2 linked regions of the Tamandua tetradactyla genome follow. The protein of the gene in region 1 interacts with the protein of each later gene in a pairwise test. Links are inferred from orthologs where the notes say so. Each region holds a gene or a part of one and is shown on either strand. Other genes may lie near its edges.

Evidence for each region. The genes of interacting proteins can lie anywhere in the genome.
Region 2: the proteins of CEP63 (region 1) and SNRNP70 interact in binary tests that used the Homo sapiens proteins (3 or more experiments, as listed by UniProt). The link is inferred for Tamandua tetradactyla from reciprocal best matches to the Homo sapiens genes CEP63 and SNRNP70.

Annotation. Positions count from the first base shown.
Region 1 is NC_135341.1:78,283,639-78,290,729, reverse strand, and holds the start of CEP63 (centrosomal protein of 63 kDa), read right to left. Parts: upstream 4,673-7,091; 5' UTR 4,589-4,672; coding exon 4,527-4,588; intron 4,302-4,526; exon of another isoform or gene 4,279-4,301; intron 2,252-4,278; exon of another isoform or gene 2,243-2,251; coding exon of another isoform or gene 2,214-2,242; intron 1-2,213. UniProt on the Homo sapiens protein: Required for normal spindle assembly.
Region 2 is NC_135342.1:12,037,245-12,040,844, forward strand, and holds the start of SNRNP70 (U1 small nuclear ribonucleoprotein 70 kDa), read right to left. Parts: upstream 2,612-3,600; 5' UTR 2,396-2,611; intron 2,113-2,395; exon of another isoform or gene 2,002-2,112; intron 1,585-2,001; 5' UTR 1,575-1,584; coding exon 1,428-1,574; intron 1-1,427. UniProt on the Homo sapiens protein: Component of the spliceosomal U1 snRNP, which is essential for recognition of the pre-mRNA 5' splice-site and the subsequent assembly of the spliceosome. SNRNP70 binds to the loop I region of U1-snRNA.

The DNA of each region.
Region 1 (7,091 bases):
TGAAGTCGTCTAAATAAAGTCCAAATAATAAAGTTGCCCAGAATAAATAAGGGGAAAGACTGATAAGTCTGAGTAAATATAAATACAATTTTGAATGGAGAAAATGCCATAAGCAAAGTTAAAAGACAGATGACAATATTTGAAAGTTCTGTCACAGAAAAAGGGTTAATTAGCCAAGTGCATAAAGAGCTGCCAAAAATTGAGGGGAAAATAAGAAATTTATAGAAAAATAGACAAGAGATATGAACAAGCATTCATAGAAAAAAATGTCAACGACCTTAAACCTGTAAAAAGAAGCTCAACCTTGCTCACAGCCTGCCACCCGTCCCTGTGATCTACAGATAAACACTGTGCTCAGGACGAGCTGTGTAGGCCTGTTGTCTAGGAAGGATGATGGATATGGGATGAAGGATACCCTTCCTTGGGTAGCCTGACTTAGATAGAACACATTCCCTAGCAGACAGCGATCTGCTGGCACATTCCGTCCCGCTTTGTCCAGAGCATATGTAAACATTCAGATTCTGTTTTTTATGGTATCTGGCCAAGTCTGCTGCTCTATCAGTTCCCACTGCGTAAGGAGCGGGATCACTTGCCTACAGCACGTAAGAGAGAAGGGTGTCTGTAGATCATCTCACTTTGGCAGCAGAGCAACATCCACTGGCTAAGAAGGACCAACACGCACCTGTGAAGCTGACTTTGCTTTATCTCTTCTCCATGTCAGTAATCATTGTACCACCCAGGGCCCTATGTAAGTGGTGTCTTTTGTTGGTGTCTCCGACACCTTTATGGAGTGGGTTGACATCTCTGCTATCCTCCATATGGGAGGACTCCTAACCTGGAGGTGGTAATGGGTGCCTTTCCTCCAAGATAAAAATACAAAATGGTACAATACTGTATGTAGAGGAGATTCTGGCAACACCTAACAACTCATATACACATTTATCCTTTGGTCAAACAATGCTACATACACAAACATATTCACTGCCGCACTATTTGTAATAGCAAGAAACAACACAAATGCCTATCACCAGGGAATTAGTTGACTATTTATCCACCAATGAAGTACTCCGAAGCAGTAAAAGGCAAAATGATCTACAGCACGGTGTGACAAGGCATATATTGTTAGGTGAAAAAAAAAAGCAAGATACAAAAGAGTACATGTAAATGCCATCTTTTGTCTAAGAAAATGCACACGCACACATTTTGCTTTTGCTTCTGATGCATTTGTTTTCACGGAAGGATAAACCCAAAACTAGTAAAAATGATTATTTATAGGGAAGGGAAACAATCGGGGTAGAGGAAAAGAGAGAGAAATGCTAAACTTCTCTCAGAATATCTTGTTTTATAGGAACTATGGTACTTGTTTTATAGGAATTATGCTAAAGTTTTGCATTTAATAAAACAAATCAAACTGGAAAAAATCAATATGGAAAAAGTGGAAATAAAATTAAATAAATGAATCAGCCATCAACTATGTATCAACTTGGCAACCTAAACATAACAACAAATTATTTCACATACCATTACAATGTAATAATTTTATTATACATATGCCTTGTGTGAAAAATACTAAAGATAAAAAGAACAACAAATTCTAAACACTATCCAGGAATCATATTATTAATAATAACACTGGTATTGTCCATTTGAAACCCGTATATATAATGTAGGATAAGGCAATTAAAATTAACGAAATTTAGGTACCAAGATTTTCAACAAAAGAGAAAAAAATGCAAATACTAAATCAAACTCATAAAAAACAAAGTCGAAAAAACAACAGTAAAATCAAATTTACATTGGAAATATTAGTATGGATTCTATATTTCCTTTTAAAAAATGTATTTCTTAGCTCCAATGACTGTAAATCCTAGAACCCAAAACCAACCTAACAGCAAAAGCACCTCTGGCACCCAGACTGTGTGGTCTCTAAATACCATCTCCCAATAAAAGGAACAGGGCTCTTTGGAGGCCAAAAATGTATAAAATGAACCAGGAACCTATTGCACCAGAAAGCAAGGAAATTATCAAAGACCACTGGAATCCTCTAGAGGAATAGGAGCCAACTTAAAGAGGCTCCAACTGGCCAAAGGTAGGACAATTTGAGTATCAAAAAGAATAATGATTTCAATAGATTGAAAGAGTTTATATATACTTAAATCTATGAGTTCATGAGGATGATAGCAAAAAAAATTAGCAAAAACCTTCATGGTTACCTTTGGAGGTCGCTAGGGCATCGACTCATTACTGTAGTCTGAAAATAGAGGGAAAAAATTTAGCATTTTTCTTGCCTTTCCTGAACAAACTGTAATTCAGGATAATCAAATAGCTGATGAGAGAAAGTTCTTCATAAAAGTTTTCCAGCTAATAAATATAGAAGGAATGATAGAATTAGAAAACCAACATTTTGCAGTCCCTAATACAATAATGGGTACAGACAATCTGAATCCAAGAGAACTTCATCACTGGGTGACTCAAGGCGAGGTTCATGCTGGATGAATGGGTCTGGCTGACAACACCAGAACCCAATGATCAATCTTTACATCACAAATAGGACAACTCTGACACTGTGTGCCTGCATGAAAATAGCACTAAACAGGAAATACACTAAACCATATATGAAATATTCTTGTGCTCCACCCAAAAAAAATCAAAGATGAATCTGATCAAGCCTCTAGATCGGTGCTGTTCAAAAGAATTTTCTGCAATTATGGAAATGTTTTATATCTTACTATTGTGTACTTGAAATGTGGCTAATGAACTGAACTTTTAATGTAATCTTCTTCTAAGCTGGTTAGTGACCATCACACTGGACAGGGCAATTCTAGATCTAACTACCAGTTTAGAGGAAATAAAGGGAATAAATGTCCATGTTAAAGGATATCATATGGACGCAGATCTGGAATGACCAGGCAAAAGGGAGGAGAGGGAACTGCTACAGATTACAAAAGAGACTCAAAAGATACGTATTTTTTAAAGGTGCAAGTAGGTATATCAACCAAATGCAACACTTTGATCTTCACAGGATTTTAATCCGAACACACTAAACGTAAAAACACATTTATGGGACAGTTGGGGATATGTGACATGACAGTATATTGGTATTACGGAATTTTTATTGATTTTGTAGGTGTGATATGACTGTTTTGAAAAACTGAAAAACAAGAAATCCTAGCTCTTAGAGAAAAAAATAACTTAAACATAAAAATCAGAAATTCAATTCCTGAAACCTTAAGTTAATGAAGACTTTAGCAGAACTTCAAAATTAGAATGAATTCTTGATAGAGTGGCCTACTGATAACTGCCACCACTTCCACAACACAAATGAGAATGGAAAGGACTAAGCAAAGACCTTCTACCTCTTCATAGGAAGAAAATAGAATTGGTACAATTAACATACACAATTATTACAATTGTATTTTTAAATTTTTTAAATTTTAATCAGACATTTTAAAGGGTGGTGTGATTGAATGTTTATAACTCTCTGACCTAATTTTGTTTCACAGCCATTTTTACCATACCTATTACTGATAACAATATAATCAAAAGGCAAGGAGCAATCATGTTTGAGACACAAACGGAACTGAGAGTAATATAAAAAAATCAACCCCCTTTTCAGGATAATCGCAGAAAATTCAGGATAAAAATTACTCTAAAAGATCGCACCACATTCCAAATTAAGAAAATGCATACTCTTTATTATATCCTTAAGCTACACCTATTTATAAATGTAAATGCAAAATATTTTAAAGTCATGTGTAGTTGATCCTTATTTCCCCTTCATATCTTATAAAACAGATGCTAGTGTGCACAGCTACCCTACATTAAAGGTTAAAAACATTAACCTTTAATTAAAGGAATAAAATAAAATTTGTTGAATGGTTTAGGGAATCGGATGCAAAAAGCGTCGGGAACTACTACCCAGTACAAATAAGTGCTCTATAAATTAAGAGTAGTCTATCATCAGGCTGATATTGTAAGCATATAGAAAAGCCACATGATGAGCCTAAATGTACTGTCTTCCAATATTGTCACAAAGTGTTTTTAAGGAAACGTCCTTTTTAAACCCACTATCTTTATCATTTAGTTCCCATTTTTAACTCCATGCATGGAGCAACCGTTAGTTCTAGGTTTCCCACTTCAGTCCTTCACGATTTCTGCCACATTCCCGTACCTACTTTGCTAATATAACACTTATAAATTGTTACTAAATATCCCGCCACAAATGAACCGGTAACACCTCCGGTAAATGAGTCACAACAAAGGTTAGGCAGCTCTAACCAAATACTCGGGCCTGCAAGGTCTGTTGTGCGTGCTTCCCCCTAAGAAGGACAAAAGGGCGCGCGGGCGGCCCAGCAGGGAAGACAGGGACCGGGGAGCGGCTCGCCCACCGCCCCCGGCCCCCGGCCTCGCGGGAAGGGCTGACCAACAGGCGGGCCTAGCCTGCGCGCCGGGAGGGTGCCATGTTCGCCCTCGCGGATCCGCAGGGCGCTCGTAACGAGGCCGACGAGGGGGCTGCGAGAGCGGACCTGGGCCGGCGAGGGTGGGCTTGCTGGCCGGCAGGCCGCTCCGAGAGCCACTCCCCGGCCATGCGGCCGCACGGCCCGAGGCACCACCAGGCCAGGGCTCTGTACGCCAAGACGCCCGAACCCTGCCCACTAGTTCGCGCGCACAGGCGGTTACGCGGCCGCCGCGAGCGCGCCCCGAGCGCGCCCCGAGCCTTCCCGCCGTTACCTCGGGCCAGAAGCGCGCACGCGCGTCACCCCCAACCTTACGTCCTGCCTCTGTCGTCGGCACGTTCGTTCCGCCCACTGGCCCCTGACTATTCATTGAAAAGTCCTCCTGATTTCCCCTCTGCGCAAGCAAATGGACTCACCCACATCCGGAAATCTGCGAGAGAAGACCGGATGGAACACGTGATGCAGTGGTGGTGGCGTGGCGGAAACGGGTGCCGCGGCGAACCCGGTACCGGTAAGGGTAACCCGCCCTCCTCGCCCAGGTCTTGGCTACTCCCACTCCCTACCCTGCAGCGGCCGAGGGCTACGTCCTCACTTCTTCCTCGTTGTCACTGCCCTTATCGCACGCTGTGTCGGGTGAAAAGGAGCCTGCGTGGCCGCCCAGGACATGCACCACCCCTCATCTCCACATTTGGTATAGCCAGCCTAGGCCGGAAACCGCGGCTATAGGACGGCCACACGCCGGTACGGGTGGTGGTGGCCTGTGAGGGTCATTTCTAGACAAGGCAAAGTCCCTTCCCGCCTTTAGTCGTATGAATACATCATTACGGTTCTGTAAACGGCAGAAATGAATGAAATCTGTCTTTGTCTCGGGGGACGCGCGAACCACGTGTGTGGGAAGACGCATATAATAGGCACTTAATGTGACAAGCTTCCCGCCTGAAGCTATTCACTGTCCCCAGCGGGCCTGTGGGCAGGCGGGTGGCGCTCTCAGGCCGCAATTTGGGAATGCTGAGTTTTTGTGGCTGATTGGGGGTTAGCCGGAAGGAAGGAAAAGGAAAGAGCATTCCAGGCTCTGGGATTGTCACGTGGCTAGGCACAAAGATATCAGTAAAAGAAATTTGTTCTAGAAGCTACCTGTGGTTCCTTCTGTCACGTGCGGCGGGTGCTTGGGACTGTGGCCGTGTCCTGGATTCTTCCCATTCTCCCAGCACCATACGGATGAGGTCCTCCCAGCCTTAAAACTGTGTTGAATCCAAAGAGCTGCTTCTCAGCTGAATTTGGAAGGAAAAGTAAGGGTTTGTGATGGGGTTAAAAAAAAAAAAAAAAAAAAAACAACTTTAAGGCAGAGTCTCAGTGGGGCGTGATTGGAGGTATTTGGAGCAGAGACAGGTCAAAAAAAGTTTGAGGCCAAATTGAAGAAGGTGTGCTAAGGAGTGATTAGTACAAAATGTACATATAATAATTGGAAACAATAACATTTGAGTTGATCTGCCTAACTTGTTTTGTGGCTCATATGGACAGAAAGCTTACTGAAACTGAGGTGATTTGAGAAAACTAAAAACGTGGAATTTGTGTAGTTGCGGGAAAATAAGCAGCTTTGAATCTGTGGAGAAGAGTGAGGAGGGTATTCCAGTGAGCAGAGCAAAGAGGACAGTGGAGTGGCAGCAGCTCTTGGAGGACAGGGATTCCACAAGTATAACTGAAACTGGGGGCGAGGGGCCCTTGTGTGTACGTATCCTAAAGGCAGGATCTTTCAACTTGTTTTGTGTTATCCACCCTGTAGTACTGGATTAATTCTTGAGTGAAATAGGAAGATCCTTCAGGTGGCCCACTGTTGACAGAAGTATCTGTCACCTTTTGACCCTTCTCCCTCCCCAACTGCTGTAATTACTATCCAGGTATTAGGGCTGTCTTGTAGTCTTACTTTTAGGGCCAAGCACAAGTCTGTGTGAAGGAACTGAATTCTATCCCCAAAGATTGTTTCTTGTTTGAGTATCTATAGCCTCAGAAGTTGGGAGTGTCGCAGAGTAGTTCCCAAGCCAGTGGCCCCCAGGCCTTCAAGATGGCCCCTTTGTAACACTGAGCACAGTAGAATGGTGTCTGTGGTGAGGAGACAGGACCTAAACTTGGAAAAAGGGAGCCCAGAGGTACCTATTGAGCTGGCCAGTCCTTTGAATTAGATTGCAGCTGTTAGGGAGAAAAAGATGGGGAAGCAGCTATGTTTAAGGAGCATTGAAAAGAGAACAGAAAGAATTGGGAAGGAATCCCAAAGAGCAGCATGGAGTCCGGCCACTGGTGTTCACCTGGAGGTGCTCCTTTCAGGGCTCAGCCTGGACTCTGTTTTTAAGAAAGGAGGCAGTTTCATTTATAAGCTCAACTGCTGACATCTTTCTTGCTTTGAGGATTTGTGTCACGCCTATGGTTAGTTAATTTGCATTGTTCATCGTTGCTGTCTTACTTCCCTGTGTTGCCCAAGAGATTAGAACCAAGGCAGATGGAGACTTTTGTAAATTTGGTGCAAAAACCTTGAGAGGCTGGAGAAGAGACTGTTATAAGTCAGAGATTCATCAAAGGCATCACAGGAAAGGTGAATGTGCAAATTAGGAGAGAGAAATTACATTTAGATGTACTGTG
Region 2 (3,600 bases), on another chromosome or scaffold:
ACCTACACAAACAAACAAACATGGGACAGTTCACATGCCATGGTGGGAGCAGGGGAATGGCACAGATTTAGAGTGAGCCACAGACCAGTGCTAGTCCACAAACCTACTGTCTGTAACAAGAGGTACAGAAACTAAAGGTACTTAGAAACTTCTATAGCAATCTGACCAAGGAAAACCTAGTAATAAAAATTTGATCCTGTATTGTGTATGTGCTTCATTTAAAAATGTACTACAAAAATGAAAATAATCGTATTGTATTTATAAAATGATTAACCTGCAACAGATTGGAAATAGAAAAACTCTGTCCATCACAGATAATTTAAGAAGCACTGCCACAGATGACATCAAACTTAAGAACAGAATGTCATCTCCCATTTTGGGGAACATCCTGCATCTCACAGCCCCCAAGCATCATTCCGAAGTGCGCAGAGTGCCAAAGGCTGCTCTGTGGAGTGATGAGAGGGCCCTTCTTTATGGACGCCAAGAAGCAGGACCAGGCTTGAAGCAAAAGGATCAGACCGTGCAGGGTCCAGAGGCAAACAAATGGATACCACCTGAGAGGAGTCTGTCAGAGTCTCCCCAAACACTCATTAAATGACACATAACCAGTATCATCAATGGGAGCCACTGACCGTATCCATTAAAGTTGCTTAATTGACCAACAGCATTTCCCAAGTACCATTTCACTGAAGGTGGCAATTTCCACTAAAGATGCAACTGTCCTATCATCTTATGAACCGCTGCTCTAAAACTCTCTCTACCTCCAGCTGCCCTTTCCCACAAGGATGAGAATTCCCAGCCCAACCACCCAGTGCCAGAACTTTCTTCTTATGACTTCAGGCTGTGTACCACTATTTCTCAAGTGTGGTTCGATGCACCTTAAAAGATGAGTATTGTTATCCCAATCTTTTGAACGAAAAAACTGATGTCCAGAAGCTTAAGTCACATATTCAGGTTTAACCTGGAGGTACAGAGCTGAAATTCCCAAGCCTGTGGCCTTAAGCACTGGTCTAAGTCTTTGTGAATGTCATGCTATTAATGATAAAATCAGTAACTACAATTCAAATGCTAACATTGCTGACTGCTTGGTGTCAAGCCCTATGACACTAAGTTTTGCCATTTAATTCTCTGTCACTCTTATGAGGAAAATACTATTGCCCTCTTGCTAAAAATGAAAAAATCAAGGCAGTAGGAGGATACACCACTTGCCCAAGGTCACCTACTGATAAATCCTGGGTGTAAAAGTCTACTACTTGCTGAACTTTCACACTAACCCTAGAAGGGACATATTATCAACCCCATTTTAAGACAGGGACACAGAAGAAAGAATAAGGCACCAGCTCGAAAATGGCCTGACTGGATTCCTAAGTCCAGCCCAATGACCTCCCCAAAACCTAAACCACTCCTTATCCCAGCAGTGAACTCACCTCAAACTCTCGGATGTAGGGTGCAATGCCACAGTATGGCTGATTGTGGTGCTTCTCATGTGGCAGTTTCTCCAAGGGTGGCAGGTACGGGATGGGGTCACGTGGAGCAAACAGGGCCAGAAGGTTGGGCGGCAAGAACTGGGTCATCTTGCCAGGTCTGAGGGTAGAAGCAAGAAGGCCCTAAGTTAGGATAGGTTTTAACTCTCAAGAAAAAGAGGAAAACAGAACACTGGGTTTTCATGTCACAGGGAAAAAGGAGTAAATCCGAATGAGAGGGCAGGCAATGGCGGCTCAGTGGCAGAATTCTCGCCTGCCATGCCAGAGACCCGGGTTCGATTTCTGGTGCCTGATCATGCAAAAAATAAATAAATAATAAATCCGAATGAGAAAGCAAGTTCTTGGGAGGAGGAGGGCAGGGGATTGGGGATGAGGCCACTAAGGGAAACAAGGACTGGAAAAGGGTTTCTGAGTAGACAAGTTCCCTAGCAAGGGGCTTGTAGGGAAATCAAGGACCCTGACGAAGAAAGAGCAGAGCAATGGTGCCTGGTGGTCTGTACCGTGGGGGACAATTTACCGAGCAGGGGTCGCGCACAGATCTTGGAAGTAGAAGTCTCCGATCAAAGGGAGAGAACCGTAAATAGCAAACCTATCAAGGTAGGGGCTTGTGGGTAATGGGTCTCAGCCTTCAAAGGCGAAAGGAATTATGGGTAAGGGTCTAGGACGCTGCGGAAAGGCCAGAAAGGAAAAAAGGCAACACCGCAAAGATCTGTAGGTAGGGGACCGCGGAGGGCTATGGGAAGGGGGCCGTGGGAAGGGGGCCCAAGCGACCAGAGGACTTTAGGTAAGAGGTGCACCAAAGCGCTGAGCCGAGGGCGCGGGAAGAGGGCCCGGCCGCAGGAAAAGGGGCTAGGGCCCACCGCAGGGCCTTGTGGGTAGCAGCCCCGCTCCCGATAAGGCCAGTCACTCACCCGCCGCGCGGCGCCCTCCTCGGCCTGGCGTCGGTCCGGGGCCTCGCGGGGGCTGCGGCAGCCCCTCAGTAGTAGGGGCTTCTTCTTCGGATTCGACTCCGGCAACGACCGCGTCTGTCTAGCTCTACCGCCGGCCCCGCGCGCGCACCAGGCTGCCGCTCACGAACCCGCGCGGCCTCGGCTCCCGATGGGGGCAGGGGGTGGGGCCCCGCCTCGGATCCCTCCGCTGGCTGCACTGCGCACGCGCCGCGCGAGTCGCGAGCCCCTCGCACACAGGGACGGGACACAACGCACGCGCGCGACTGCTGCCCCCGCCTTCGGGTGCCCTGAACGGCTTTGCCGCGGCTGACTGGCTTCCGTACTGCGCACGAGCGAGCCGCACCAGCCACTCTCTCCTCCTCGCGCTCTCTGCCCCAACCGCTTCTGTTCGCGAGACTCTTCTGATACTCCGCCCCTTCTTTTTAATACTTCCCGGAGTCTGTGCGCATGCGTAGTAACGTATTACATGTACCCTTCCGCCACTTGGCAAAGAGTTCCTACTTGAGAAGTGGTCAGCGGGATGTCTAATCTATTCGGTCAACAGCTTTGTCGAGCGCTTGCAGTCTGATAGACGCTGTTTGGAACGCTGGTGAACATATAGCATATGGCTAATACAAAGCCTTTTATCTCATGGAACTTACATTCTCTTGAGGGGAAGACAGTAAAACATTTAAATGAAGAAAATAATTCTAGATGTGGCCGGCACGATGAAGGAAAATAGAGCAGAGGAAGAGGATGCAAAATGAGAGCGGGGCTATTTAAAAGAGGCATGCCATTCAGAGGTGACCTTTGAACAGCAAGTGCCAAGGCCCTAGGTGAGGAGCCATGAGGGCACAGAACTGGCAGCCATGTTATTTAGGGCTTTATATATCTTAACGAATTAACTGTTGCAATTTGGTTGTATTCAGTTGCCTATTTAATATAATAATTACAGAAATTATTACCAAATTTTAGTTACTGAGTTGGTTTTAGAGATGCTTGAGATTGAAGCAATATTTTTTAAAAAGTTGACATATTTGCTTTACCTGTTTGTGTGTATCCGCTTCCTATGTTTTGTTTTCTGAACTTGAAAGTAAATTGCAGCAGCATTTCACCCCTGAATGCTTCAGCATGAATTTCCTAAGAATAAGGACATTATATTCTGCATAACGGTTTCTCCAGACAAA